Linked DNA regions of Oreochromis niloticus. The protein of the gene in region 3 binds, or shares a complex with, the protein of the main gene of each other region. Links are inferred from orthologs where the notes say so. Each region holds a gene or a part of one and is shown on either strand. Other genes may lie near its edges. The genes, in order: mapkap1, zfyve28, rptor and rapamycin-insensitive companion of mTOR.

Evidence for each region.
Region 1: rptor (region 3) and mapkap1 share a complex: the UniProt entries of both Homo sapiens proteins name them as parts of the mechanistic target of rapamycin complex. The link is inferred for Oreochromis niloticus from reciprocal best matches to the Homo sapiens genes RPTOR and MAPKAP1.
Region 2: the proteins of rptor (region 3) and zfyve28 are in contact, whole or in part, in a cryo-EM structure (PDB 9F43), measured with the Homo sapiens proteins. The link is inferred for Oreochromis niloticus from reciprocal best matches to the Homo sapiens genes RPTOR and ZFYVE28. Residues at the interface, in NP_065812.1 of Homo sapiens: Arg54, Arg305, Arg306, Thr317, Asp321, Phe337, Arg338, Leu341, Ala344, Arg348, Leu437, Gln438, Leu440, Leu441, Ser442, Gln443, Arg446, Pro474, Tyr475, Lys478, Leu479, Gln481, Ser482, Ser483, Ala484; in NP_066023.2 of Homo sapiens: Arg399, Val400, Phe401, Phe402, Met403, Asp404, Asp405, Val406, Glu407.
Region 4: rptor (region 3) and rapamycin-insensitive companion of mTOR share a complex: the UniProt entries of both Homo sapiens proteins name them as parts of the mechanistic target of rapamycin complex. The link is inferred for Oreochromis niloticus from reciprocal best matches to the Homo sapiens genes RPTOR and RICTOR.

The regions. Positions count from the first base shown.
Region 1 is NC_031972.2:8,478,082-8,485,808, forward strand, and holds the start of mapkap1 (target of rapamycin complex 2 subunit MAPKAP1), read left to right. Parts: upstream 1-4,721; 5' UTR 4,722-4,912; intron 4,913-6,737; 5' UTR 6,738-6,933; coding exon 6,934-7,216; intron 7,217-7,727. UniProt on the Homo sapiens protein: Component of the mechanistic target of rapamycin complex 2 (mTORC2), which transduces signals from growth factors to pathways involved in proliferation, cytoskeletal organization, lipogenesis and anabolic output.
Region 2 is NC_031983.2:11,616,050-11,623,917, forward strand, and holds the start of zfyve28 (lateral signaling target protein 2 homolog), read left to right. Parts: upstream 1-4,851; 5' UTR 4,852-5,204; coding exon 5,205-5,240; intron 5,241-7,868. Other genes in the region: cfap99 (cilia- and flagella-associated protein 99), read right to left, coding at 1-86, 173-314, 410-614, 755-843, 924-1,010, 1,106-1,174, 1,335-1,415, 1,540-1,717 and 4 more. UniProt on the Homo sapiens protein: Negative regulator of epidermal growth factor receptor (EGFR) signaling. Acts by promoting EGFR degradation in endosomes when not monoubiquitinated.
Region 3 is NC_031971.2:37,768,903-37,776,846, forward strand, and holds the start of rptor (regulatory-associated protein of mTOR), read left to right. Parts: upstream 1-4,940; 5' UTR 4,941-5,696; intron 5,697-7,469; 5' UTR 7,470-7,479; coding exon 7,480-7,647; intron 7,648-7,944. UniProt on the Homo sapiens protein: Component of the mechanistic target of rapamycin complex 1 (mTORC1), an evolutionarily conserved central nutrient sensor that stimulates anabolic reactions and macromolecule biosynthesis to promote cellular biomass generation and growth.
Region 4 is NC_031977.2:11,885,052-11,892,150, forward strand, and holds the start of rapamycin-insensitive companion of mTOR, read left to right. Parts: upstream 1-4,080; 5' UTR 4,081-4,143; coding exon 4,144-4,192; intron 4,193-4,317; coding exon 4,318-4,365; intron 4,366-5,786; coding exon 5,787-5,884; intron 5,885-7,099. Other genes in the region: lg12h5orf34 (uncharacterized protein C5orf34 homolog), read left to right, coding at 137-257, 339-430, 519-594, 690-787, 873-919, 1,026-1,204. UniProt on the Homo sapiens protein: Component of the mechanistic target of rapamycin complex 2 (mTORC2), which transduces signals from growth factors to pathways involved in proliferation, cytoskeletal organization, lipogenesis and anabolic output.

The DNA.
Region 1 (7,727 bases), on a different chromosome or scaffold from region 3:
ATCACACTTGGCCATAATCTGAAATGCACATAGTTAACCCCATTATATAGTCTACTTTTCAAAAAGCACATTTTTATATTTTGATCCTTGCATTATCCTCACATAATATATTAGACAAATACATTTTGTGAATATGTGAATTATTTATGATCAATATATTTAATTTTCTTGTTCCTACCTCTCCCATTTTATTAGTTTGGAATACACTTAATTTTGAAACTGCTTGCATTATGTTCTATAACAGTTTTTCTAATATTATTCTTGCGGGACATTTCTTGTTTTCAGATAAGTAGAGACTGTACTGGGGCTCATCTTAGATCATTTTAGTAATCAAGTATCTATTATTGCATCAAATAATCGAATAAGAAATACTTTTGTCTTATTAATGAGCAGTAATAAATATTCAAAAGACAAAAAACTGGTCTTTTAAAATGTTTAAATAGTTCACCTCCATATAACACCTGTAATGTAAATGGAGAGTCCTCTTCACACACTAAGGTTAATTATGGAATTCCAAAGGACTCAATGCTAAGATGAGTTCTGTTTACATTATACATGCTTCCCTTCCAAGTATCATTAGAAGGCACTGACCGCTAATTTTCTGCTTTTAAATTCAGATAAAACCGAGGTTATTGTACTCGTCCCTTAAAAATCTCAGAAATATAGTATCTAACCAGATGCCTATTTTAATGATCTCAAAGTATGGTATCACCCTATTAGAGCACTAACTTACAAGAGCCAAATATACCAAATCGAATCAAAAACAGTGACCCCAAAACTGTGCTATGAACAGAACCACAGATTTTGTAAACTGTTCCATCCCCAGTAGGTTATTATTATTAGTAGTATTAGTATTGTTCAGTGTCCAACCAAACAACCCTCAGGACAGTGGCTCAGAGTTTTAAAGGCCCATGTACATTTTTATTGGCTTGTGAGGAAAAACTTCAATTGTCATATTTTTTAAATCTTGATGCAACTTATTTTATATAAGTCATCAAAAAAAAAAAAAAAAGGGGTATAAGCAAACAGCTTAAGTTAAGGACATAAATTTGCTTTTTGGGTCTCGAGCGAGCTCCTCTGCAAAGGACTGGATTTCTCTTCTACGTCCAGACACTCAAAATTCCAGTGGTGAAATGAGATAAAAAGATGTCAATCAAAAGTTCTCCCCATACAGGACAAGTTACGCATTGATTCGTAGGGATTAACATAAATTACTAACAACACCCATAACTAACCCAACAGTTTAACTAAATTATTTATTGTCCGACCATAACTCGCCCTCGCTTGTCAACTGTAACTGTGAAATAATAAATAAGCGACCAAGCTAACAAGCTAGTCAGGTAACATAATGCATCTTCCATACGCCAGCTGCAACCGACGACAGACATCAGCTATGGTTTTACTGGCCAGCCAACGGTCTGTTATCCCTTGGACCGTTTAAGCGCTTATATCACATACCTTAGTCAATCACACCACCAAAGGCAGCTTTACGTATCACATTCTTGCGAAGACATAGGATTTGCAATAAATGATAATGTTAGCAATCTAGCTGGGTTGACCACTTACCGAAACAGGCTAACAGTTGGATGTGAGCGGTTTCCGAAAATTTTCCTTAGTGTTCTGTTTGGTTAGGTCGTTTCACAGCTTTGGAAAAGCTCGCATCGTTAGAAAATTGCCTTATCCATCAAACCAGTGCTAAACACAACCTATTCTGTGCGTATCTGCATAACAGTTTTCCAGCTAGCGGGTTCAGGAAGACATCATTGTTCGAAAAGCGGAAAGAACCCGTTCGGATTCGGAGGAGTCGTCGCCGTTTTCTTCTTCTTCTTCTTAATATTTATTGGTTGGCAAGTAGCGAAATTCTTCTTCTTCTTCTCCTGTTTTTTTGGTTGGAAAATAACTTCTAGGTGCATTACCGCCACCTTTTAGATTGGCGTATAGCACAGAATCTACAGTACCGCCAATATATTTCTTTTAAAATTCCTGTCTCCTTCAAAAATGTAAAAATATCTGCAAGAACTATGTGCCCTGAGTCGCTTTGAAAGAATTCCCTTATCCTTAAATTATTTTTGTTATTATTAAGATTACTAATTAATACTTCTCTCTCAGGAGTGTTTAAGGACACTGTTAGACATTTGCCTTACCACATATTTTAATTACAGCAAGGGTTTTTACAGACAAAAACATGGATGTGCTATGGCCTCCCCGATGTCACCTATTGTAGCCAATCTTTACATGGAGGAAGTGAAAAGGGATTTTTTCTTTTCTTTTCTTTTCTTTTCTTTTTTTTTTAAAGTACACCAAACCTTGTCTAATGGTGTATTTTTACCCAAATCACAGTATTTTCTCCAATAATCATGGTCCTTCTAACCTGTGCTTGTTTCTTTTTGTAGTTTATTAGATTTTGGGAACATTTTTTTTAATGTTTTGAAAGCCTTATTCTGTTATTTAATTGCTAATGTACATTTTTGTGTCCACCATGCAACAAATCCGAAAAGGTTGATTCTTTTCCTCTGGACATAGTGTTTTCAAACCAGAAACTTTGGAATGTTATAGGTGACTGAGTTGATCATACAGAAAACTGGTACACCCTACACCCTGTTTATGCATCTTCGGGAAACCAAACGACTTGGTATAGATTCCCCTGGGTATAGCCTGTGGTATGAGACCCAGTCAATAGCATTTTCTTGTTCTAACTGCTTCAGAGAATCTATCACCCTCTTCCTGCAACCACTTCCTGGGTCTCGTTTCAGGGGCTCATAAATATTTTTGTCACTGAGCAGTGACAACATTTTCTCATGATAGTCTTTCTGGTGCACAGCCATGCACCTACCCTTGTCTGCCAGAAGGATGATAATGTTATTGTCATTATAAGTGATGTGAGTGCCTTCCTCTCCTCCATGTTGATGTTGGATGCTGGGGGCTTAGCATTTCTGAAACAATCTCAAACCTTTGTCCGTAGTCCGACTTACTTACCTGGATTGTATTTTGACAACTGTTTAGGTATTCAGATAACTATTATTATTTTTTAGACACAGGAGAAGCTTCAATTAGTGCACCCAGTTATGGAAAACAAAGTGGGGTAATTGCTGCAGTTTAGAACAGGTTTTTGTTTCCCAGGAATTGCAGGGTCTATGTTGTCTGGGGCATAGAGTCATAGAAGGTCTTCAGGAGTGGGCCCCTCAATCCAAAAGACCTGAGCCTCTGCAGCAGGTACAGCCTGCTCTGTCCTTTCTTGAGGTAGTCCAGTATCCATGCTGTGAGGTGATGGTCCACTTCTGTTCTCCAGCTTGTCCTTAAGGACTGTGGGAAGAATGGTGTTAAAGGTACTGGAGAAATAAAAAAACATGATTCTCACAGTGCTCCCAGCAGTCTCCAGGTGAGAGAGGGAACGATGTAGGAGGTGAGTGACGGCATCATCGACTCCAATGCCAAGTTGGCAGGCAAACTGAAGTCAGTTCAGTGATGAGCTCACCAGGGGCTGAAGCTGAGCTAGGACCAACCGATCGAGGGCCTTCATCAGGTAGGATGTCAGAGCTACCGGCCTGTAGTCTTTGAAGTTCTTGGGACATGGAGTCTTTGGCACTGGTACAACACAAGAGTTTTCCAGAGCTGTTGAACTCTCCCCAGCCTCAGGCTCAGTTCGAAGATGTGCTCCATCACCGCACACATTTGATCTGCGCAGGACCTGAAAACCCTTAAGGTGATGCTATCTGATGCAACACCAAAACCTCCGCCCCAGAAGGCGGACCCTGGGAGCACGCCAACAGACACTCTCATGGAACATGACAAATACACATATTATACAGCTTATACGGCTTTCTCTTAAAATTATGCATGTTGTTAGTAAATTAAGCATTTTATTTACTTTAGCAGGCTTGACAAAATCGATAAATGTACTCACATCTCTTTAATGACTTTTTGGAATAATTTCAACATACCTTCAATCATCCTTACACAGAGGAGGATGCAGCCAGATACTTTTTAAATTATTCCAGCAACAACACTGCTGAGCTGATGTAGCTGGGAAGGGTCTGATTAACACTGGAAAAGCGACAGATGCAAATAATGGCATGTTTATATCGTGGCTCGTTGGAGCATTTCCTTGCGGCTTGTCCATCTCCACTAAATGCTGCCTGCAATACTGTGCAGTTAACACTGTCCTATCGATTTCAGTGTAGAACAAAACGTAATGAACTCTTTCACCACAACCTTTAGGCTCCCCTAGCCTTTGAGCCAGTTGCCCAATTACTTTTGGTGTCTTTAAAAAAAGGGTGGCACATTTTAAGGAGCTGAATCTCCTGAACTCTTCATTCCAGTTTAAATTTTATTATATTAAATATTATGTCCATGTCAATTATATAACTAGAATTGGAATATGTTTCAGTAAACAGGTAAAAAAACAAACAAACTTGTTTTAGAGTCCAAATATATATGGACCTAATTTTAGGTCGAAGAACATAAAATGCCCTCCCTGACTGTCAGGTATATTTTTTATTACAATTATAATTATAATGAAATTATAATTAATTAATTAATTAATTATAATTTATCAAATTAAGTCATAATATTTTCATAAACAGTTATTGTGTGTTAGGAGATATATTTTAATAAAAGCGTAATAAGGATAAAAATGTTGCAAAATATGTCGATGATTGATGCTTTCTGTGAAAACGAAATCATAGTTTGTTTTTTCCTTTTATCATGAAGTAACGGAACCGGAAGTATCGCTGGGCTGGTTGTGGGTTGGTTGTTAGGCAGAGCATACCAGGTTGAGTTGGTTTGTGTTTGTATTATGACTTTAATGTGGAACATTAGTCGTGATGAACAGAGTTTCTGACTCTATTATGATTATGCTTGTAACATATGGAGAATCGTGGATGTTTCTTTCCCTTGGCGGATAAATCTAAAGGTAAGACGTCGTCTTAAACAAGGGAGGTTCAACGCAAATGCTGGTCGCGTTAGCTTAAATGAGCTTGCAAGCTACTAGATAGAACCGCTTCTGGTGAAATATTTTTGCAATCCTGATGCTAAACATAAACCCTTTTGCCACTCTAACCAGGCGGGCCCTGATTTAAAAAAGTATTACTTTGAAGTCAGCCGGCTACGATGGTTAGCATTAAAAAAAGCTACGGCGAATCATTAAATGAGGTGCTTTTGCAGGTATCAAACAGTATCACTTGGCATTACACGCCACAACACATTTCGCCTTAGAGAAGAAGACCCTTAAGCTGTCAGCAAGGACAAACTTGACAATACACTACAGCATTTATTAGCTGCAGTTAGCGTCGTCTAGAAGCTCTTTGCAATAACTGGATCTTCTAATAAAAGATTAGGCCCCGCCGCATACAATGGGAACTATTCAAAACCTAACAATATTTTATTAATAGTTTGACGTTTATTTACTAAAGTTAAAAAAACCTTGGCGGTCTGGTCCTGATCCTTTATTGGACATGTTAACGTGGGTATCTCGTTCAACCCAGTTTGAGTGTGGGGTTGTTTTGGCCTGGCTTACAGCTCTTATTTACATGTTGAAATTATCAACATCTTTATGTTCAGTGTTAATATCACGGACAGTCAAACTTCAGTTTTTGTTTGTCTGTGTATCAAAGTTCAAATCCTTTTGAAGAGATCATTGGCAAAATGACAATCTTGTGTCAGATCTTTGTTTTAACTGTTGAGACTTTTAAAGCCTCCTCAGCCAAGCTGAGGCCTATACTGTGAAGCAGGAGTTGGATAAACTATGTGTGTTCAACATATTTAGGGTATCTTTCCATTGTCTGGATTCACTTATCTTAACATTGACGATCAGGATAACCGATCACACAAAGCTGGTTATCAAGTCACTGTGTTAACGAAGGGTCTCCCCTGTGCATTCACACGAAATGTGCGGCCAGACATCTGACCAATCACAAAATAGGCGATTCAGGAATCATGTGACTCTTCTTCCATACAAAATTGTTCCTGTGGGTGCTACCTATACTTTAGAGATATTATCAAATTGCAATAAAAATCTTTAAATATCCAGTAAAATGCATCACTGTTTTTAAAAATGATGAGAAAATTCTTCACTTAATCTGGTGATTTGGCGCAAACAATAATTATTTTAATTCTACCTAACAGTTTTATCACTGAGTGGGATTTTGCTGCCATTGATGATTTTTAAGACAGCACCTGCACATTAGAGCTCTACATCTTTAAAATAGATCCATTTAAACATTAAAGTTTACCGTCCCACATCAAATAGCTAGCTGTGTCCTCAACTTTTGATCGGGTGTAAAACAGCCTGTTTCAGTTTAAGCGTTGTTTTCAATAAAATGCATGCTCAAAAGAAATGTTTTGTCTCACTCCCATTCCTTCTTGTTGCATGTTGAAGCTCTACTGGAACCTTGTTAAGATCAAACCATGCAAAATATGGAAAAAACATTTTTTTGGCATTTTTCAAGTGGTCTTAAACTTTTGATCTGGACTGTATAAAGAACAAAAACCAAAGAATGTATACAAAATACAATACTAGTCCTTTAAAAGTAAATACTGCCCTGAGAGTGAGCTGCCTTGGCAGAGATTTGCTTCTTGTTTTAGTTTATTGTATTTATTTATTTAAACTGTGAAAGTTGGAAGTTAAAGTGGGCTGTGAATTGAGCTTATAGTTTTTAAATATATCAGTTTTAAAAGATTGAGCTGAAATCCTACTTCTAGACTGCAACATGTAATAACAATTTCTTTGCTCTCCTTAGGGACTACTTTGCCTACCTTGGACCTGAAAAAATAGTAATCAAAAGATGGAAAAGGTGACACTTCTCTTGTCATCAGTCACAGCTGTAACACTCTCAAACAGAGACTGATAAGAAAAGAAAAGGAACCCTTTGGCATACAGGCAAGAGGGTGAGAAAATTTCCAAAGCGAAAAGACACACTTAGCCAAACAGAGGAAATGGCATTCTTGGACAATCCGGCCATTATCCTGGCTCACATCAGACAATCTCATGTGACCAGTGATGATACTGGAATGTGTGAGATGGTGCTAATAGATCAGGATGTTGATCTTGAGAAGTGCCAGCTTTCTCTGGTCCCTGGTAGCAGCTTTGGGTCAACTGGGTCAGGCCTCCTGAATGAGGGGGGCAGTAGTGTGACAGACAGTCATCCCTGTGACCTCTCTCAGTCTATGGACATCACCTCCAGCTGGGACTTTGGCATTCGTCGGCGCTCCAACACAGGTAAACTCATCTTCAGGCTTTAGCTTGTTAGTTGGGCCAGCTTTCTGTCAGACCTCCCTCCTGTCATTATGGTGGGAGACAGCCAGAAAGCCTGTTCTGCTGCTGTTTGAAGGGGTTTTGTGTGGCTAATCAGGGCCAGTGGTTTCACTGAGTTAAATTGTGTGCACCGCATGTGAAAAGCTTGGGATTACACTGTGGTTCATTGTGCATTTAAGTAATTTATATGATGTGACATATTGCATTAAATATGGTTATGGAGATGACAAATGACACAGCAAAATGAATAATCATTGACTATGTGTCACGCAGCTTCTGTGTGCTCCAAAATCAAGTGCCTACTCTATATAAAACCAAAGTTCTGCAAACATTTCCGCCATGATGACAAAAAGTAAGGGAAAACCACTACTTCAGCAAATGTGGAATTCAGTTTTACATTTTCAGTTTTCTTATTGTTGTTGTTGTCGGTATTATTACCATTACTACTATGGCTCCAGTGGATCATGGGCATGAA
Region 2 (7,868 bases), on a different chromosome or scaffold from region 3:
GACTTCAAATTTGCGGCTCATCTCTGCCTCTGCTTCCTCCAATGCTTGACGAAGCAGCTCCTGGTTCTGTTCGGAGACTTCTTTCACTGCGAAATTTGTCATGACATTGATGTGAACAGCAAAAAGAAACACGTGAAATGCCCCGTGTGACAAGCTGCTTGAGGAGGCGTACCTATGCTTTGCTTCAGCTTCTGTAACTTCTCTTTAGCTGCCTTTGAATTCTTGTGGCCATCTGCCACTTGTTGCACCAGATCCCTTATTTCCTTTTCCTCTTGCAACCTTTTCTCAGCATATCTTTGCATCAGCTGAGCTGTCTAGAAAAAGCAAACAAGCCATAAAGAAGACGACAACAAGTTTATTCCTCTGTGAATTCCTTTTATTTATTAGTTGCCACGTGGTCTTTACCTACCTCTTCTTTCTTCAGCTGCGCAGCCTTCTGATTGCGCTCCATTATACGTTTGCGGGCCAGAGCTGCCTCCTGTTCACTGATGCATGCCTCCAGGTGTCGGCGCTCAATCTTGGGCAACTGCTCCTGAAGGTCCTTCTCACGCATCTCCTTTTGCCACTGCAGGAAAGATGAAGGATCGCGCTCCCCTTGCACCAGCCGCTCAATTCTGTATTACAAACAGATGCACAAGGGATGCAAATTTTTATGTGTTGATTTGCACTTCACTCTCGTGGAGCACTATGCAGGCACCTATCGTGTCCAACACCTTGGAAAAGGTTAAAGTAGCAGGTAAAAGCTGCGCTGTACCTCTGGACCTCCTCCTCCACCCAACGCTTATACAGTGCCTCCTTCCTTAGAATAGCTGCATTGTTGAGTTTGATTGGATAGCTGACCGCCTGTAAAAAATACACACATGACAGCAGATATTACACCAACATTAGGCTATCTAGAAACAGGCAGAGTACTTAGGTCTTACCTTATTACTAGAAGAAGCTCCACGGGAATGAAAGGAATTAGGCTTGAGCCTTGAATCCAAGTCTTCCTCAATCTTGGACATCACTCTCTGTGGAACAAGTATGGTGTTGAAGCCAACAGAATACAAGCCCACCCTCACACACACACACACACACACACACACACACACACACACATACACACCTTTGTGTGCTCAGACTTCTGTGGATTTCCACATCTGAACTGTTTGATATTTGCTTCATACAGAAGCTCCTTTGGTGGAAAACAGATAAGCGAACATTTTAATGGCAGTATATGTAACTGAATTTAAAAATATAAAAAGTTTGGATAATAGCTACTATTATTGAACTTAAATGTGCCAGCTGCTGTTTAATTGTTAAACTTATCTTCTTTTGTATTAGATTCATTGTACCTGAGCCTTTTGATGGTTCTTCTGTTTATTCTCCTCTATTATCTGCATCTCCTTTGGAGCCTTGTAGGTGCTGCTTGGTACCTGCAAGACAAACACCTTAAGAGTGATGCACCAGCCTCTACACAGTTTACAGCTTACACTCTCTTTAAGGATTGAGGACATGAAAACTTCTCAAAGTAAAGGACTTTATGTAACTGATACTGACTGGTTTGCATTTCTTCTGCTGTGGGATGAGCTCGGGCATGGGTAGAGGCCGCGGTTTAGGTTTGGTGAGGGCGAACTCCTGGGGCTCAGTGGTTTTGGTTGCAGCTTTCTTGAGCAGATTCCCTTGAGAGATCTTGACTGCAAGCTGGTCCATGAGAATATCTATCTCAGGGCGCCACCTAAAGGACACACAAGCAAACATTTTGGTTGTCTGAATTTGAAATGCTCTGCTCACAAAACGACCTCCACTGGAATACTTGTGCACATTTCTGACCAGACTGTGAGAAACAGACTCAATGAGCAATGGCATGAGCAGCCCTTGGTGCCCTACTCTCTTGCATGTTCACACTGAGCCTATGTGACAGGCATGAAAGAGTCTACAGATGCTGTGCCGCACTTCATGTGACTTCAGCATCAAATCAATCACTGAATACAGCCCTCACAGGATTAAAAAGTTTGTTTTCTACTGACTGCTGTCATGTCTTTTTGTTGTCAGTGAATTACACAATGTGTAGATTTAAGTTTCCCCTTCATTCTTTGAGTTATTATAGTGTTATTACCTAAGAAGTATTTTCGTTCATCATGCTTTTCTCACCTGAGTAGAGGCCCAATCCAGTGTTTCTCCACAAAGGCAGCATCATAGATGTTGTTCCACTCATCCTGTATCCACGTGGTGAGGTTTGAGAAGAAGAAACCTAAAAACTAATTTTAAAAAGTGCAACATAAGAAAGCTGCTGATTAATTTCCCTCTTCTGTACTCAGAATTTGTGTTTCTTACCATGTGCATTTTCTTGATGTCCAGAGATTTAACAATGCTGCTAAAACACTGAAGCCCGAGGTCATCAAGAAGAAATGTGGCCAGGTAACAGATAACTGGGGAGCAAGACGACCATTAAAACATGTCAGTTCTTTTATTCAGGCTGAAATCAGGAGTAGCAATGAAGTTACTCACCAACAAACTGGCTGCGTTCACCTCTGGACACTGATTTTACATGCTGGCCATAGAAGGCATTGATGACTACATCCAGCAACTTCTTTTGTTCAACACATCCGGAAACAACATCTAGAATGAACTTCCTCTGCAGCATGTCCATGTCCTGTGACAAAACAAGAAATACAGGCTAATCAGAAGCAGGCCTATGCATCCACTCACATTGATCTGAGTCTGACATACCTGCAGATCCTTCATAGCATCTTCTGTGAAGTCATCCAAACACTGTCTGCTAGCTCTAAAGCTGTCGAGGAGCTGAACGGCTTCCTTCACAAGTGATGCATAGTTTGATGCCATCTTAAATCCACTAGAAAAGCCCACAAATAAACTGTTTATATAAGCAAAGCTCACGCATTGAGAGATGAGAGAACAAACAGTTCTCCCTGGGATAGACAAGCCAACCGGGCTGCTAATGAAAGACATCAATTCACAAAAAATATTTGCTGTCTTCGACTCATAGACAGTCTCCAGCCATCGCTGTGTTGCGTCGTTGCTTAGCAACAAAACACAGGCGTAAACAGAAATACGTCCCAGCTCGAAATGTTAAACGAGGAACGCTTTAGCAAAAAAATTAATCATTTAGATTCAAAAGAGGCGTTTTATTATTGCTCAGTTTAACATATTAAATACTTCACAGTTTTAATCCGTACAGATTAACAGAGTGCCATCCTCATCCTTTGTTGGCGTCCATAACAATAATAATGACGTCGCGTGTTGTGACGTCTTGCCGGGGCTGTGCTGATCTTCTGCTGCCTTCAAGTGCTTTTGGAAATTCTACAATAAACAGACGGCGATCAAACTGACACGTTAAAACATCTGGTCAAGATGGAAACCCGTTCTAAAAACCGAATGAAAGTTGTTGGGTTGTGCTTTAAAAAATAATGGTTTTACAAAAAATGTTGTTTCCTAGCTTACCAGGGGTTTTACATTGTTGATATATGAGGGACAAAAGCTAATTACTGGGTAAATCACATGCAAACTGGGGTTTTGTTCTCAGAATCGAGCATCTGATTTCCTGGTTTAACCTGATCATCATAATCATATTTCTTAACTGGAGTGAAAACAAAGTCATTTGTTGAATTTAAATTAGGAAATACCAAGCTAAGTTTATGATAAATCTATATGTGATGTTTTAGAAAACAGAAAGTTGAAATAACTCCAAAATAGCTTCTGGACAAACACACACTGCTGATGGCAATCATGTAATACAGGCGAAAGCTAAGGAATAACCTGGAAGTGTATTTTGAGTGAAAATTGTTTTCCCCACTGATATTTTCTCTCTAATCTCTTTTACAAATCTGGAAAATGTGCTTAATTTACTGCTCCTCATTTGGATGGTCTTTACTGCAAAGATCTGTACACATCCTAAATCATACATTTATTTGATGAAATTTCCCTGTATTTGCCTGACATTTGATTTTAAAGTTAAAATGAAACAACAGTGGGCTACTGTATTGTTTTTCTCACACAATCGAGTTATAAAAACTTAAAACCTCCACTAATCATACTTAAATCTATGCATACACTATTAATACTTTCTAGATAAGGGGGGTCAAAGTCTTTTTGGGTTACTGGCCAAACCCAATTTCATCTCAAGTGGGCTGGGCCAGCGAAGCTATTGCATAACATTTTAACAGGATAAAAATGTTAAATAAAATGTTAAATAAATCAGTTTTTTGTGATTTATTGAATGTACTGTTACAATTTACAGATTGCAGATGATGATGATAGGTTTTCTTTTAAGCAAAAAAAAAAAATGTTTTACATCTTTTTGATGTCATTTGACATCAAATGACTTTTAACTTTTTAAATTTTCCACCAGGAGCAGCAGAGGATTTTCTTGGAAAATGTGAATAAGTAACACAACTGGAATATATGGCGGGTCAGTTTGACACACTTCCTCTAGATTCTTAAATTATTGTAATGTAGTAAATTCAAATTTGTTACTTAGGTAACAGAAAACAACTGTCATTAGTAAACTTTTCTTATCTGTTGCTTATGTTTTATTACATGAGGATAAAGAAAGTACACCATCTTTAAATTTGAAGGGCAGCTGCAGCTGCAGTGTGTGAAGAACTAAGAGACTCTTAAAACGTCCATAGAAATTATAATCATGGTTAGAAGTTTAGATTCACTCATCATAAGCTTAAAATGGTAATGTTGTGGCTTGTAATGATTTCTTTGAACTGGTTTCTTTTTCCAGGGTGGAATGATTGTACAGTATACATCGTTAATGACCCTTTTGGAGAGAGAAAGCTATTTTTTGGAGGAGCACTTGAACGCACCACTTCCTGGGAAAGTGGGAGGTGAATGTTGTCAACGTGACTGTCATCGAGTAACGTTAGAGGGGCAGAGAACAGCGGAGCCTTCAGTGCTCCAGTTGTCTGTATCGTCGGGGACTTGGAAAGTGACTGGGCAGGTGGAGGGACAGGTTGCTAACCTCGGGCTTCAGGGAAAATGGAAATAAGTGGTTATTTCCCAATACCTCCTTTGTGCGCCTTCAGAGCCTCGGTGTAACGTTCAGGACAACTTGCCGTACATTGTCTTTTTTCCTCCTTTTTGGACCCAAGCAGCGCTAGCTAGCTTAGCCGCCAGCCAGCCGCCGATAGTGTCAGACACACAGGTACAGGAGAAGAGAGGAGGGGTTGGTGACAAAGGAAGGTGGCGAGGTAACGATGAACCGCTTTCGAAAGTGGCTGTATAAGCCCAAGGTAAGTTGTGTCAGCCCCTGCAGTCAGTCATTTTTTATGCATAGCTTTGGAGCTCGCTAGCCTGATCATTTCATAGACTGTCAGCACATCTGCTAACGTTAGCCCGTGTTCCTGATGTTACACTGTATTAATCAGCAGCTATCCCCTTTGTTGTTGTTGATGCTTTTGTTTTGAAGCTGCAGTCAGGACTAACAATGCTACAGTCTTCCAATTTGGGCTGATTAATACTGATTTACTTACATCTGTCTTCAGCTGACGTTAGTGTTCATGTGATTCTGTCTTGTTATTTTAAAGGTTTGAAATACCTTAATAAATCACTGATTAATAACAATGACAAGACCACATCAGAGCTGAAAAAATAATCGTTTTGCTTGTAATAGTAGTGTCATTATCATGTCGTTACCACATAAGAGGAAATATTTTAAAAGTAGAATATATTTTATAACAAAAGCTGATGTTTTTAATTTCCTTAAGAACTATTTGTTTTCATTATTGATTCTGCTGGATATTTTTTAATAAACGGGTTTATCATTTGGTGCATACACATGCTAGAAAATAGCACCTTTTTAAAAAATAAAAAAATTGCAAAAAACATGATTAAAATTAAAATATGTGTTTATTCCAAACAAAGAACAAATAAAACATGGCACAGTTTACCTGAATGTGTTATTCTGGTTGACGTTTTCCAAGATCCAAACCTTTTGTAAAGTAGAAGGTGACATATTAACCTGATTTTGTTGTGGTATCAGTTCAAAGTCAAAATATATTTTATTTATATCAGGCAGGACAAAGACACTTTGTTACAATTGATAGGGTGGACTTTAGGAAAACATTGTTTTGTGGCATCTAAGCCTTAAAGACCACCAAAATACTTACCAGCTATTTTTCTCATGCAGTTTATTTAAAATATTGATTGTCTCAGCTCTGTATACCATTTGTGAATACAGTCTGAAAAAAGGCAAAACAATCAAATCCTGCTCGGGAAACACATTTGTCAGCAAAATCGTCACTTTTTGGGTGCGCTAGTAATGGATGTGCTGTGATTCCTTAAATCAAGCTCAAAGTGTGGAAACATGCCTGACACAGCAGAGGAAGTATTAAAGGCTTGGTTGCCTTGTTAAATGAACAGTTCAGTATATGCCAACTGCAGCACCTTTTAGGATGAGTGAACGTGAACATTTCTCTGGGTTGAAAATTCTTGTTAACTTTAAACGTAACTTTTCAATGTCCAGAAAATTGCTCCACCCTTTCATTCGTAACATAGCACTGTGTTTGTGTCAGTATATTGACTTAAGGCTTGCACTTAAAAGGATAAACCTGTGTCATAGCTGCTGTACATCGTAAGTCTTTAAAGATTATTAAGCTTCTTAAACAAGCTGTTGACTGGTGGAGGTAACTGTTATTTCTTGGCATGCTCCTGCTTTCCTGAAAGTTCCTCGATGATAACGTTCAGAAAAACCCTTGTTATTGTGATACCTGTGATAAGAGGTAAGTCAACTGATAGGTCACTGTATGTTTGAACTCCACACTCAAGAAATCATCGGATGAAACAGTGGTGATTACAAGATATGCTGCATAGCTAAGCAGTTGTGATCACTCACAAGGCAAGCTAACTGAGCTTGAGCCAAACTAGCTGCCCATAGACCATGGGTGGGCAATTAATTTTCCCAAGAGGCCGTATGAGAAACTGGGACTGTTGTGGACTTGCCCTACATTATGATTCGATTGGCTAGCAACAATGTGAGCAGAGCAACAGCTCAGCATTTCAGTTTAATTCAATTTTTGTGTATTTTTTGTTGTTGTTGTTGATTTTAGTGGTTAGCGATGCTTAATTTTTAAGTCAGTATTGCTAGCAGTGTTGCTCTTTAGATCTGAGCTTGGCTACGGCCTATGGCTCAATAGAGTGGGTGTGGCAATCACTCAAATGTTGAAGTGCCCACTCTGAGTTGCAAGTTTCCCCGCTCCTCCAAGTAGAGGAATTTTAGTATCTTGGGATATTGTTAATGAGCGAGATGAGAGCAGATCGGGAGATTAACAGATGGAGCGGTGCCAGCCTGTTATGGTAAAGAGCGAGCTGAGCTGTCGATTTAAGGGTCAATCTATTTTCCTAGCTAACCTATAACTTAAGATGCATTCTGGGCACCTCCTAAGTGAGTTGCTCCGGTCCCATAAAGAGGGGGTCCAGGGGCAGAGCACAGATATGTTGGAGATTATACATCTCTTGGCTGTTTTAGAAGCACTTCAGTGTCCCCCTAGAAGAACTGAGGAGGTGGCTGGGGACAGGGTTTCCTGGGCATCGCTGAAAATAAATAAAACTTAATCAATTCATGTTTGATGTAAAGGGATTTTTTGGCTTGGAGGAAGGGAGTTTCTAGAGTTCATTCACACATTGGCAATAAAAAAAAAGTGTTTAGTACATGAAAAATCCGTTTTGAATTCGAAACCTTTAAAAGGTTTGGCAACACGTATTTCTAATTGGGAGCATAAGTAGAGTATAAGTTAGCCGTCTTGATAATAGAAAACTGCTGAATCACATCATCATTGGGTAATTATAATAAGAGCTTTTGCAACAGTAATGTCACACAAGGCTTAGATAAAAGGCCTCTGATTACACTTTGTCCACCTGTT
Region 3 (7,944 bases):
AAAAACCTGAGGTGGGGGAAGCCATATTAATACCCCAACGATGCTACACCCTGTATATATGGACCTCCCAAGAATCATAAAGAAAGAGCCCCTTTCTGACCCATCGTTAGCAGTAAAAACTCATCTGCTGACTCCAGGTGAAACCATGCAGTCGTTTGATGTTGTTTCACTTTTTACGTATATACCCACAATCAAGGCAGTTGATCCTGTCAGGAAACAACTACAGAAAGACAGCTCCTCAAACAAGCTTCACCCCTGTTTAGGTTTGCACCCTGTTGGACCTCTGCCTTACCACCCCATATTTCAGATACAATGTGGGTGTCTCCTGGTAAAAACATGCATGTGCCATGGGCTACTGATTGTCACCAACACAGCCAACCTTTAAGTGAAGGAAGTGGAAAGTAAAGCTCTGGGCTCTTTGATGGGGACAAGACTTGGGTTCAGATATGTCAGCTTCGCCTGGGTCAAAATCAGAACCCAAGAGGTCCAGTCCTTCACTTGATGTGTTTTCCACTGAGTGGATAAAAACATCAAGTTCACCACAGAGGATACAAAGGAAAAGGTTACCATTTCTGGAATGTGTTGTGTTCATTTATAGAGCGTGGAAGCCTCAACAATGAATTTTACCTGAAATCCACACACAGAGACTAATACCAGCTCTTTGACTCCCGGCACCCAGTGGAACACAAACAATTAAAGAAATGTCAGATAACAACCAGGGAGAAAAAGACTAACAGACAAAACAGCATTGTAGATTTGTTAGAGAAACTCAGAAGAATTTTCTCCAAGCATGACATTTCAGTGCACTTCAAACCCAGCAACACCCTCAGACAAAAACTGTTGCATCCCAAGGACAAAGCAGCCAAACAAAAGCTTAACAAGCTCGTATACGGTGCAGTGCAGTGAGGAGAGCTCTGATCTCCAAACAGGAGACACCAAACATCCGCTCCACAAAAATATGGCACAACATAGATGAGCAGGACAAGACTCAGCTGTACATCTGCACTAGGACAAAGGTCACGCTTTTGATGATGCCAAAGTTCACATTTTGGGCCGAGAAGGAAGTCTGTTGGAGAGAGGAGTAAAAGAGGCCATCTATGCTTGCTGTGAACGACTATCGTTGAGCAGATATGTGGGCTTACGACACCAGCTCGCATCACAACTCACATGATGAATAGAGGTGTAACGACCCTTAGAATCACCTCCAAAGTAGATAGCCCCTCACTAAGGGTTTATTACCTGGGACTTTCCACCAGTTGTTATAGAACAGAAGCTGCGTCTTTGATGAAAACCTAAAAAACTCCAGCTGCCTTTTTCCCAAGTTCTCGAAATCACCTGGATAACCAAGAACGTACAAACAGAACTAATCTCTAAGTTAAACTAATATTTCAAAGTCACACTGCAGGGCAGCTTATGGCAGCTTATTGATACAATTAATTAAATATTAAGGAAAATGATTGAAAAACATGACTTTACAGCACTGATCAACAATTTCTTACAAATAACCAAAAATTTACTTTTTATCTTCATCATATTTTGACTATGACATCAATAATTCAGCAACTTGTGTAAAAACTGGAACTTTGAATTATTCTCCTGAGCCGAGTTGTTATTTGTCTGAATTTTCACAGCTGACTTAATTTTTTCAATTATCATTATGAGACCAAATTAAGGAAAATTAACAGAACGAACAAAGGTAACAGATTTTAACAAGTGCTAATTTACATTACATGACATGTGGCATTATTTATGCTTAAATTGCCTTCAATTTAGAAGACTGTGTGATCAGAGGTTTGACACAAACGCCCAGAAAGTGTCAGTCATCATAAAATGCTGCAATAAATGGGCAGCTTGCAGTATTCAATGAGAGACAACACTGCACTATTGAATTAATGCAATTATGAAAGTAAGTATGTGGTGTGTGGATTGTACTATGTAGAAGAATGCTAACACAAGCACTGAATTGCTCTGCCTCCTATTCTACTTTTAATTATCCTAGGAACCAAAAGTAAGCCTGCAGTCTGAGAGCGAAGTGCTCTAATGGGGTGCTACAGTACTATGAGGTCTTTAAAGATGTGGCCAGATTATTCAAGACCTTATATGTGAGGAGAAGGATTTTAAAGTGGATTCTGGATTTAACAGGGGGCCGATGAAGAGAAGCCAGTATGGTAGAAATATGCTCCGTCCCTGTTAGGACTCTCACTGCAGCATTTTGGATCAACTGGACTTTAAAGGCTTTTGGGAAAACCTAATAATTATGAACTGCAATAGTCGAGCTTAGAAATAATACATACATGAACTAGTTTTTCAGCATCACTCTGAGACAGAATGTTTCTAATTTTAGAAACTAATTTCCTAATTTCCACCAGTTTGCTATACTGGTTTAAAAAGCACAGCTAAAGCCAGTCTAAATGGCTGGGTTTGGGCACATTTATGACTTACACATAACACAACACTCCTTATGAACTACTGAGGGGCGATGTGCACATTTTCAGGTTAAATAAATCTCTCATTTACAAACATCTTCTTGATTTCGGTCCAGATTTTTGGTCTGGTTTATTCTTTCTGCTTTAATTATTCATGAAATGTGTCTCAAACTTCGCCAGATTCCCTTTGTGGCACACTGAGTTGATTGGGGATAATATAGTGAGGCATACACATGTGCAGATAAAAGTCCTGCAGGCAATCCACGCTGCTTATCGGGGTAATATCAGTGCAATGAAGTCCAAAGAACTCTCTACAGACCTGTGTGGTTAAACTATGGTGAGGCACAGATCAGGCCAAGGGTATAAAATCATTTCTAAAGGTTTGAGTGTTCTGGGGAGAATATGGCCTAAATATTTATGAAATGGAAGACATCTGAAACCATCTGGACCTTTCCGAGAGTAGGCTGCTGGGACAAGCTGAGTAAACAACCAAGTAGAAAGTTGACCAAGAAATCAGCCTGCCAAAAGGATGAGCATCCCAACAGCTCACTGTCAGTCAGTTTTACAGCAGTCAGACAGAAGCAAGTTTTAGCCTCTCAGAAATTGTCAGACTGCATTCAGAGAGTAGTTCATACTTTCCATCCAGTTTGGTAACACTTGAAACGGAGAATGAGATAAGCTATGGAAATCTATTTTTGTTTTCTGAACCTCACTCTATTATTGCATTTCTGTTTTATTTACAGTATGTTAATGAAATCTATGCACTTCACACAGAAAGGCTCCAGCTTTTCAGCTGGCCTGCAGTTTAAAAGCAGGAACCTTCTTGGTGTGGGATGACAGTGGGATAACCATTGCACCACTGTGTGTGGATTCTCTCAGACACACATGTAAGGTTAACAGGTGATTCTAAATTCCCCTCAGGTGTGAGTGTGAGTTATTGCCTTTTTTCTGTTCCTCTCCACGTTGTATCCCACGTCTTAGCTTATGACAGTGGGGATGGGCTTTGGCCTCCCGTGACTCAGAATTGGATGAGTGGTTAAGAAAATGGATGATATGGTTACTGGAACACTGTATCAGATTTCATCCAATGATTCTAACTTTTTGGATGCTTGAGAAGTTCTTTTGAGGGGGTATTCAGTTCAGTTTAACCCAGATGCCATTTCCCATAATGGGATAACTATGAGTGGCATCAGTGGCTCGTGCTATTTCCTCACAGTAAGATGGCTCTGAGATTGAGCCCTCCTGAGGATTTTATTTGTACAGAGTTTCCATGTTCTTAAACTGTGACTAAGTGGGTTTTCTCCAGGTGCTCTGGTTTCCCCTCACAGTCCAAAAACATGCCTGTTAGGTTAGTCGATTATTCGAAATTGTCCAGGAGACTTGTGTGCATGTGACTGGTAATTTAAAGCACACTGGGTGATTATTAAGCAAGAGAACTGCTGTATAAATGTCAGTCCATTTCAATAGTATTGACGTCCTACTCATACAACAAGTCAACTGATTGTATAAATACTGTATGGCTTATGGTGTAACAACTAAATTAATGTTAGCTGGTACTGATTAAAAAATAATGCCATTTAGCAAATGTCCCCCCAAGTGACAGCAAAATTACCTGAAATAGTTTCACAATTAAAGCAAATATTTTGGTGTTTAGGATGAAAGGAAGGAAGGATCCATGCAAGTGCTTTTTCCCACTATCGCTGAATAAATATGGCCACAAACCTGTGTAAGTGTATTCTTTATTTTTTTTGTTAAAGCTTTTCCCTTTAATAAGGAAAAATAAGGACATTTGGTACAAAAATAAGGACCAGATTCACAAGCGCTTGTTAAGTACAGCCTTTAAGCTGTTTATGAACACAAATATCTAATCAACCAATTGCATGGCAGCAGTTCAATACATTTAAGCCTACTGGAAATAATTGGTGGAGCTGTGGTGAGACGTATTTAACCACGCATGGGGTACAAGTTATTTCTGTAAGCTAATAACCAAGCTGATAACATCACAACCTATTTGGGATTTTATGAAGTCACATTTTAATAGAAATTTGATACATAAAACAGGTAGTTGGGAAAAATATGTTGGGGGGGGGAAAAGTCCTTGTTTCCAGACCTCAGTTCTCATTTTAAAAATAACAAAGCTCCTTTTCTTAAATAACGAGATTTGTTTTCTCAAATGAAGTTGTAAAGCACTTTGTCAAGCTGAAGTTTTTTTTCTTTCTTTGAACTTTACTGTAAGTTGAAGATGCAGAACATAAAGTTCAATACTTATAAAGAATACTACAATTAAATTCAAGGGAAAAATGTCAGGAGAAGAAAGAAAACCAAAACCATAATAACTTCTTTTTCTTAATTCCAAAGCACCTTTTCCTAAACAGTGGGATTTGTCCCTCCAAAGGAAGCAGCAAAGCAAACCACCTTGTCAAGCTGAAGTAATCTGGTGATAGAGCAACATACGGGAAAAAGTCATAAAAATTATATGTAAGAAATACTAATTTCGATTCAAGAAAAAAAAAAAAACATTGACAAAAAATGGCCATTATCATTTAAATAAAGTATTTACAAAATCGTAAATGCTTTTTGAAGGGAAAAAAAAGGTTTTGCGCTGGTAAATGTACACTTACGCTAAAACTGCAAGTATTACAAAGACTTCAGTTACAACCTTTCATTAGTTACAACCTTCGTGCAAGGACAGCTCAAAGCCACTTTGTCGTGCAGGTTTCAAAGGCTTCAGGCTGACGTGAGTACGTGTGTTTATATTTTGGTGAGTGACGCCAGGAACAACAGCTGTGACGTTTCACGACAGCTTCGCCGCCCCAACAGTGCATTCTGGGTTCAACCCAAGATGGCTGCGCCCTTGCAGAAGTGCTGAAGAAGTGCCTCTTCGGAGAAATTCTCGGAATTATTTGAGATTTCCTCGAAGACTGTCGCTCGGAGCCGACTACCAGGGCCGCTGGTACGTAGAAGGAGTCCACGCGAGCCCAGTCATTGATAAGTGCGGCCGGCGTTACGTGTGGCTGTGGCAGACTGTCCGTGTGAAGATGGGCCTCGCCTGCAGCCCCTTCCCATAGCGAAGAGCCGTGGGGAGAGGAGCCGCAGATTCCCCTGCAAACACGCGCCCGTGCAGCTCGGATTTGACGGCTTTGACTTACTCTACAGGCTCTGGACGCTGCCCTACAATTTGCTGACCAGGATTGTGTGTGCGACCGTGTCTGTCATTGTCCGGAGAAGGAGAGCTTCCACAGCCCGGGCTGATAATCCCACCGCACCAAGGTCTGCATCTGCACGCTTCGCTGACACTCTCCGTGCCTTATCTGCACATCTGCTCGGTCCTCTTATCTCTGTCACGCGTGTGTGGTTTCAGAGCCTCGCTTTAAAAAGGCTTTAAGTGAATATTACCGGCCTCGGTGCAGTCTGACACCTGACAGCAGCAGAGCTGTTACATTAGCCGCGCTAGTTTAGCTTAGCTAGCTGGACTGGACTGAGCCTGCTGCTCGCCAGCATCCGTGCAGACAAGTTTAACACAGCTGGGCCGTTTTAGCACGAATGCAGAGGCACTAAAGATAAAACCCATCGACCTCCTCTGCCGTGGCTCCAGCTGTAGAGCTGAAACACCTCTGCAGCTGTTGCTTTACTACAGAGTCAGGCAGCTAGCCTGTTAAAATAAAGTGGAGGAAGCCAGATGTGAGTGTGTTTGGTTTCAGTTGCTGTTGTGGGTTTCATTCAAACAGGATTCACAGCATCAGATTCACACGGCATAAAAATGACTCATAACCACCATCCCATGACTTAAAGGGCATAAAGTGGAAAAGTCAGCAGCCAGTGTTGATAATCAGATTATTATCTGAGTGTAGAAACAGCCTGCTTAGTATAGCCCGTAACAACAGTACAAGAAGGGATGGACCTGTTGTTACTGTATGGGACAGTAGCAGTCTGATGATGACCGAGCCTTTGGGGGGCTTTTGGTGTACCCATTGTTTACAACTGGAGATAGATTTTTCAATCCAAGTTACAGAATGGACAGTGCAGAGGTCAGCAAACAGCAACAACTGTTTGAATGTGCCGGCCGGCCCTGGTCCACACAGCGTGTGGAGATTGTATGTTGTTCTTGTGCCTACATGGGTTTCTTTTGGGTACTCTGGCTTCTTCCCACAATGCTTGTGAGGTGTGTTTGTGATTATAAATTGGCTGTGTTAGACCTGCTTTCTAATGCCAGCTTGGATAAGCCCTGGCCCTCACCAATCCTGTATAGGAAGGATTTAAGAGGACGGATCTTTATCAGATGATGGGTGATCCATATTGACAAAGTGGACTTTGGCCCAAAAGAAATGGCTTGTATTTGTGGTGGTAGCATGGCCAAGAGGGACAAACATGTCCAAGAACGTACAAACAGGGACGGCTGCCTCTGAGGTCAGGTCTTCATCCTGTAGGACTTCAACAGCTGCACCGAGAGACCTGTGGATCTAAGTCATGATTGTTAATTTTTTTTATACTAGTGCTAAGATAATATAATCAAATGTTTTATTTTTATAACCAAAAAAGGAAGCAAAAGTTCTCTTACATGTTGTTTAAACACTGAAGATGTTTGAATGAATAAATTTATCTAAATCTGGATCCAAGTCTCGAGCTCTCTGAACAGGCCTACTGCAGTTATCTGACAGCGCGCTTTTATTGCTGTTTAAATTTTCCTATGAATATCTCAGTTGGTAACCAAAAATGTATTTAGGGATGCTTACATCTGTTGTGTATATATTCTGTTTTTACTGTGTTTATATATTATTTATCTTCCATTACTTAATAAAATAGCTGCACAGTATGTTTTGATTAGCAAATTTAGCACATTTGGCTGCATCTGGACTGGAAATTTCTCCAAATTTAAGATTTAAGTTTTTTAATTATTTATTTTTTAGACTAGTGTCAGTATTGACTATATGCAGTAATTAAATGGCTAAAGTGAGCCTACAAATCTTTTTGTGGATACCCAGTAGCTACAGCTAAAGACACTTCAAAATCCAACCAGTGACATTAACATGAGCGCTCTCCCAGCAGGGCCCTGATGAAAATGGACTCAGACTTGCTTCATTCACCGGCCGTGGGCCTCGCTGAGGAAGAGGAGGCCGATATGAATGACTGGAAACTTCCCTTGGCCTTCATGAAGAAGAGGCACTCAGAGAAGATTGAGGGCTCCAAGGCCCTGGCGCAGAGCTGGCGGATGAAGGACAGGGTAATTTCTCTTCTCATCCATGTCCAGGAGTAATTCAAGAGCCTGAGGATGTTTCCTGTGTGAGCTCTGCTTTGAGGTCACAGAGGCTGTTTTTCCTTTTATCTCAGCTCATAGAGACTTGTATAGCTGCATTTTCATGCTCATATATCTGATGGGACTGTGTTAGTTTTAAGCTGGAACCAATAAAACAGGAAATCTAAGATTGTTGATTTAATTTAATGAGTTTTGATGCTTTAGATACAGCTTTAGAAATGTTCAACACTGTTATTTTAAAACGATAAATATTATAGTATGGTT
Region 4 (7,099 bases), on a different chromosome or scaffold from region 3:
AAAGCTGAAAGGATCTCTGAAATCTTCAATTTTCATACTCATGATAAAAAAATCATTGTTTTACAGTATAGAGTGTGGGAGATGGTCTATAAATCTACACTAGAATAGTGTGCTTACCTTCATGTCTGCTGTGTAGGATACTGAGTGGACCTGTCTCAGCTGTTGAGGTTTCCCCAGGGGATGGATCAGTCATCCGCTCTAACCGCAACCTTAACTCTTATTTTACGCATCACAAAACTGAACTCCAGTCAGGGCTGGTAAACTTTAACCTCTTATTATAAAATTTAACCAATACATTTTAAAAATAATCTTACAAATTTAGCCAATCTTTACCACAGGTCAAAGAGGTAACCTACCATTTAAACAGCCTTCCACCTGATGTGCTTGGACAGGCCTACTCTGTTTGCTCTATTGTGAGTCGTGCAAGCAGGTAAGCTGCCCCCTCTTCATCACAGTCTGGTGAGTTAAAGGACTTTTAATTTTTTCCAGTCTCCACCCATCGCATAACTGTTTTACAGGATCCTGGCTTGCTACAACCAGGCCATGCAGTCACTGAAGTGTCCAGCCTTACCCAGCTGCTTGCAAGATCTCGAAGTAGTAGTACCTCCTGATACACCTGTGGATACCTACACTTTATCCACCATTTAAGCTTGTGCACTGCCAGTTACTGAATCTCTTTCTGTTTGCAGGATGGATATTTTTGTAAACCAACAGCGTTTGAAGAAAAGGTGCCCATTGCTGTGCCTGCTGAGCAACGCATGAGTGTGACAGAGGAAGCAGGCAGTTTGTAAGTTGTGTTTTTCTGGTCACTCTGTCGATATTTTGTTATAAAATTAAAGGTGTTAACAGCTTGTGTGTACTGTTCATTTTAGATCAGAGCTCGTTGCTGCAGAGCTTGAGAAGATAAAGCGATTTAGCTGTATCCTTCAGCACTGGGATCAAGATACAAAGGGATGCTTTAAACTAATGTCTGTATTGTCTGTATTGAGGCTGTCTCTCTGTGCTCTTTAACATCCTTTGCCCAGTTCTGCTGGAGAACAGCCACGTGCTAAAAAGTGGAAAAGCACATGCAGATGAGGAGGAAAGTCCTGCAGACGTCACTCGTGAGCCATTAAATGACAACTATGTTGCTGAAGCTCTTCAAAGGACATCCAAAGCAATTCAGGATATTGACGCTCTCGTATCTGCAGCCACACTAACTTAAAAGAATCCTTATGTTTAAGCAGGAAGCCATATTTGTGTGTTTGTCTCAATAAAAAATATAATAAAACTGTGTGGAATTATACTTTAATAAAGTATGTATTACTATGTAATGGGGTTGCATAGACTTTTAATATTTTAGTCTATTTAACAACCCCAGAAAAGTTGGGACACAATTTATTCATAATGGAACATAATCAAATGTTTCAATTGAGACATTGTAACATTTTAAGGGGGGAAAAGATTTATTTTAAATTTGATGGCAGCAAAACATCTTATAACTGCTGTGTAGCATCCTTTGTTCTCTTAACCACAGCCCATAACCATCTGGGAAGTGAGGAGACCAATTGATGGACTTTTGGGTGAGGAATGGTGTCCCATTGTTGTTTGATAGAGGATTTGAGCGGCTCAGCAGTCCAGGGTGTTCATTGTTGTATTTTTGATTTCATGTTGCGCCAAATGTTTTCAGCTAGTGGAAGGTTTGGAATGCAGCCAGGCCACTTCAGCACCCAGCCAGAATCCTTGCCGTTTTAACAGATGCAGTATGCAGTTTGTTTGTAGTTCTCATCTTCAAACATTGACATTGGCAAAGAATTGTTTGTATTGAGGTTACAACATGTCTCAGAGAAAACAGCAGAAAAGATATCGTTTATGCTGGCTCTCCTGACTGGGGTGGTCAGCTCAATGTCCCAGATGGCGTTCTATCATCAGGAGGGCATTAGATCACAGCAGGAAGGAAAATCAGGGCTCTAGCAGATCCCATATAATAAACTTCAAAAGGAATCTATTTTTGGGTTTAGTGTAGGGATCAGACTTTCAAAATAAAGCATATTCAGATTGCTCTGATGAGACAACTCTCCAGTGCTTCTCCTGTCAGAGCAGTGCAGAATCATCAGCGTTTCTATAGGTGCTATGACCTGAAGTTGTACTGAAAATCTGTACAACTCAAAAGGTGAACAGGAATGGAGACCGTGCAGTCCTCTGTGAAGCTCCAGTGCTGCGCATCACCTAATCAGACAGAGCTCTGCTCAGTCCCAGGCACTACAGTCTCTCTGTCAGGTAGTCAGTAATCCAAAACATGGTTTTAAGTTCAAGAAACTGAACTTCTTTAAATGACCGAACTGATAGATGCAGTAATAGCAAGCATCTGAATCTTCTTTGCAGTTCATTTAATGTCAGGTGGTGAATAGCTTTCAGTCTATTTTCCAGATCTGTGTTCCCTTGTAACCATAAACTTTGGTTGCATTAAACTAAGAACTCGGTGAACTATGCAGCACATTGTGTTTACACTGTAATCAACAGGCAGAGAGAGGTTTTACAGTCTCTGTTATCATCCAGTGGAGACAGCAGCTGCCATTGCCCCAGTGAGTCAAAACAACTAAATAGTTTATGGCTGAAGATTTTTTTTTTTTTTTTGAGTGAGTGACTATTGACACATTTTAAAGCCCCTGAATTGCCAATCATGTACACTAGCAGAATATCAGAATGATCTACCTAATACATTCAGTAAGCTCATAGAGTATGGGAAAGATTAATATAAAATCTCTCATTACAACCCATGAGGATTTAAAAGAAGAGAAAGAATCACAGAGCCATTGCCTACTGTATAACTTTGTATCTACGATGATTCCAGGGCACTAGCTGATGTGCTCAGCGCGCAAATGTAACTTATAAAGTTGCCTATCATATCTCTTTCTCATGTGACTGTACACTTTCTCTATTTTCAGTGACTTAGTCAGCTGTTTCTATGTCCTTTAGGCTGTTTATTAGTAAAAAATTATTCATATTAATTTTAAAATATGAATACATTAATGTTATTGATGTTAATGTAAATATAATAGGCCTGCTATAAGCTACTTCCATACTGTTAACTTTTTTTTCCTGATTAGCTTGATTGTGAAGGTTGTACAATACTCCTGTCCTTTTCAGACTGGGCTATTAAATTGAGTCGAGATCAGAATCAGTATGTAGAGTCATTGCTATTAGAGAGTAAGAGAAAAAGTCACTTTCTTTCATGCATTCAGGTGTTAGTTGAAATTAATTTGCAAACAGACAAAATACGCCTGTACTCAGAGAGTGTCTATTTATTTCAATTGGTGAAGCCACATTTCGGTCCATTCCCAGAGATTGACAAAATGTTCATTGTTATGTATGGGTGACACCAAGTGTGCAAGATGGTTATTGCAGATTTTAAGACCTGAAAAGCTGAACATTATAGTCATTCATTGTTATTATTATTCTTTTCTCCAACGAATACCTGTTTTGCCTTTAGTAAAACGGCAGAAAAACAAACTAACAAGAAGTTGTGCTGTAATATGACATTTTACTTTTGATATTATTTACTTTTGATATTTACCAAAAAATAATTAATAATAATAACTGCATAATAACAACTTGCACATTAGATAGTCATTAAAATTACATTTTTTAAAAAACAGAATAAACTACTTTAAATGTTTAGTGACAGGCTTTATGCGTGAAAACTGTGAAGTCTTCAGTTATAACTGTGAAATGTCTGTGAAAGTTCGAGTTGGAGCCACTCATAGACATGACTTATTGAAAGTATTTTTCAGTCAAAACCCATGTTAAATGTATGCATAATAATAATAATAATAATAGTAATAATATTAATAATAGAAAAAGGAAGAAGAAGAAGAATATACTTAAACAATAAAAAACGAATGGATAAGGCAAGTGAAAATTTAACTTTACTTGAAATGATAATATTTGTGATAGAAATTTAGCTCTTGAATGAGATCCCCCTTTGCTAACCCTAACACAGTCGCCAGGTCAGATTTATGCTTTATCCCTCATACGATTAGAGGGATATTAAGGAGGATCCAGCTGATCTTAGGTCTGTTGTGGATCTGTTGCGGTCCCTCTCTTGTCTGCTGTCTCGCGATAACCCGCGAAGTTTCCGGTGTTGTGTATGTTCCTGGAAACATGGCGGCCAGCTTCCGCGGCCGTCCTATCCGGAGTCTTCGGATGCGAGGTAAGCACAAAAACCTCGATTCAGCGGCTGCTGTAAAAGCAGGATATTGCAAAATATGATTTTGTCACGCACGCGATGACCTTGGAGTAATGTCTCGGCGTGTCCGCGGTGTGTGTTTTTGACAGGTCGGAATGACAGCGGGGAGGAGAACGTACCGCTGGATCTGAGCAGAGGTAAGCAGAGGCTTCATCACATCACCCTGAAAGCGATTATTGTTCAAAATGGATGAGGGCGATATCTGCAAACGCTAGCCCCGCGTGGTGAAAGTCTAGACAGTGTACGCGCTTGACCCATCACTGCTGTTGTTATTTCGCCATTTTCCCTCACTGTTTGGTCTAAAAACGTCGCTATCGATGTCATAACAACAGGCGGCAACGAGCTAACTTAACTAGCTGAGTTAGCGTTAGCTAGCTGCAGCTAACCAGCCATGAAGACGCTCTGTTATTTTGATCGGCGTGAGTGGGCACGATAGCCTGTTATTTAGCCAAGTAGCCATAAGAGTTGCAGTCATGCATTTGTCATCGCTAACTGGCTGGGGGAATTGAGTCTGAAAGCTGTGCGCCGAGAAGCATTGAGGCAGCACACGGTGGATCTTCCAGAGGAGCACTGATAACACAGCTGCACAACTTGTCAGATTTACTCCTCCAGCATCAACACTGCATAGCAGTTTGTTTACACGGAGCAGCAGTGTCTCAGTCCTGGAGGCCCAGATCCCTGCTAGATTCGTTACAATCGTGTCAACTAGAGACACGCTCACCTAAAAATGTATGACTGACAACATTAAAATCTTCACCACAGGAGAGTCAATACACTTAACCTATCAGCTGCTTCAGTGCGATTTACACTATTTACATGTTCTTCCTGACAGTACCAAAACTGGGGAAAACTAAAGTATGTCAGTTCCCAGAGGTTGAAAATGATGAAATAACAAATGTGCATACTAATTTCATGTAATCACTGTGGCATCAATTAAAATGTGATGTATTCATAACTTACTGTAAGATTGGCTCGTGATGTTTACAAATGCTTGTTACCAAAGTAACCCTTTGGTCTGGCATTTTTCTCATTTCCACTTTTGAGCGATGGATTGAGTGCAGTGTTTGGAGCAGTGAGACTGATGACTAATACCGATAGCTATTACTTTTTGACAAGCTGCAGTGGAATCAGGCTTATCATCTGCTGCGCTTGGTTGTTGAGGAGAAAGTGATCTGAGCAGCTCATTAAGCTGGTGTTTTCCTAGTTTGTGCGATGTTTACATTTGTCTTGCAGGGCAATATGTGGAAGTCATCCCACGCAAAGCGGGCGTTAAGGCGTCGACCACGCTTAGACGATTCTGTTTTAAAATGCGGTTCCCGTTTGTCAAAACATTTAGCGTAGGATAGTTGAAAGGAACTGAAAACAAAAACACTTCCCGCTCAGGTCTTGCTTTTTTAATGTCTAGCCTTTGTTTTGATTGTACACTCTACATTAGTTCCAGCTAAACCAACTTCCTTCCTGCAGGATATCTATTACGGTTCATTGACTGATATTATTATGGCAATATGGCTTAACGCCTCCCTTAGTTACATTGTATTTCCTTTTCATTCTCCTTCAGAACCGTCAGAAAACTTCCGTGAAATCCTTCAAAATGTGGCCAAACCGCACGGAGTCAGTAACATGCGAAAACTGGGCCACCTGAACAACTTCATAAAGGTAACGCTGTCAAGCTCTGATAATTTTGCCTCATTTAAAGACAGTTTTGCCTTGCTGAAATGTTGTGAGACATGTAGCTTTTTGAGAGGGTTCACTTGGTTCAGATCTCTCACAAGATTGATTAGCTGCTCCTCCTCTGTAGTGTCACCACTGACCTCTCCTTGATCTTTTCCTCTTGGGTGTTGATGCCAGCAGGCCTAGTTGTGCCTGTCACTGTGATGCTGACAGTGAATATAACAGGAGCTCGAGGGATAGGAGAGCACTCCAGTCTAATGTGCATGTGGAGCAGTGCTCAGACTTTGAAATCTGAGATTAATAGTGTCTAGTTATTGTTTGTATGGACCTGAGACTTTGATTTGTTAAAAAAAAAGAAGAAGAAAAGATTATTTTAGTCATTTTTTCTCTTCTGGTTTTTAATGTGAATGATAAAAAAACAGAGGATTTAGGAGGATTTTCAGTTTAGCAAGGCTTAAAACACAAATATGCTAACATGGATTGTAACACATGTGAGCCCATACAAGTTTTAAATTGTTTTGACCATGCAGTATAACTGCTCTGATTCACTTAACAGCAGTAAATGTTACTGATACAGAGATGAATAATAGCAATAATATCCCCAAAAGTTTGTTCTGTTCATCTGGACGTAGCGTTTTCAGTTTGAGAAACGTTTCGTCACTCATCTAAGTGTCTTCTTCAGTCTCAGCTGACTGCAGACTGACTGCAATAATAATAAAAAAAGAGTATGAAATTTAAGTTTCTTGCTCATTAAAAAAAATCTGTTTTAGTGTTTTCGCTCATCATTCAGGTCAGCCCTGTTGGTCAGGACTAGTGACCTCTCCAGGGTGTTTTTCTCCTGTCAACCCAAAACATGCTGGAGTAGTCTCCTTCCTGTTATTTTGAACAGGAATAACAGGGGTGGAGAAAATGAGTTAATGATTGCGAGATGAGCGTGAGATAGAAAACTAGCACTTTCTTGTGCCTTGAGCACACTGGCCTTGCTGACTGTCACCTCAGGTGGGAAAAAAAGAGTCAAAACCATGTGCACAACTGTCTAATTTACCACAGTTTCACACTCTCCGTCTGCACCTACGCTGGGGTCAAATTGGTATAAAGTTTGTCATCTGAGTGCAGGTATTTGTCTGCTCTTCACTTTGTTGTGACAGGACTGTCTGTGTCTGTGTGCAAAGACAGTGATGTGCAGTATTTTAAGGAAGC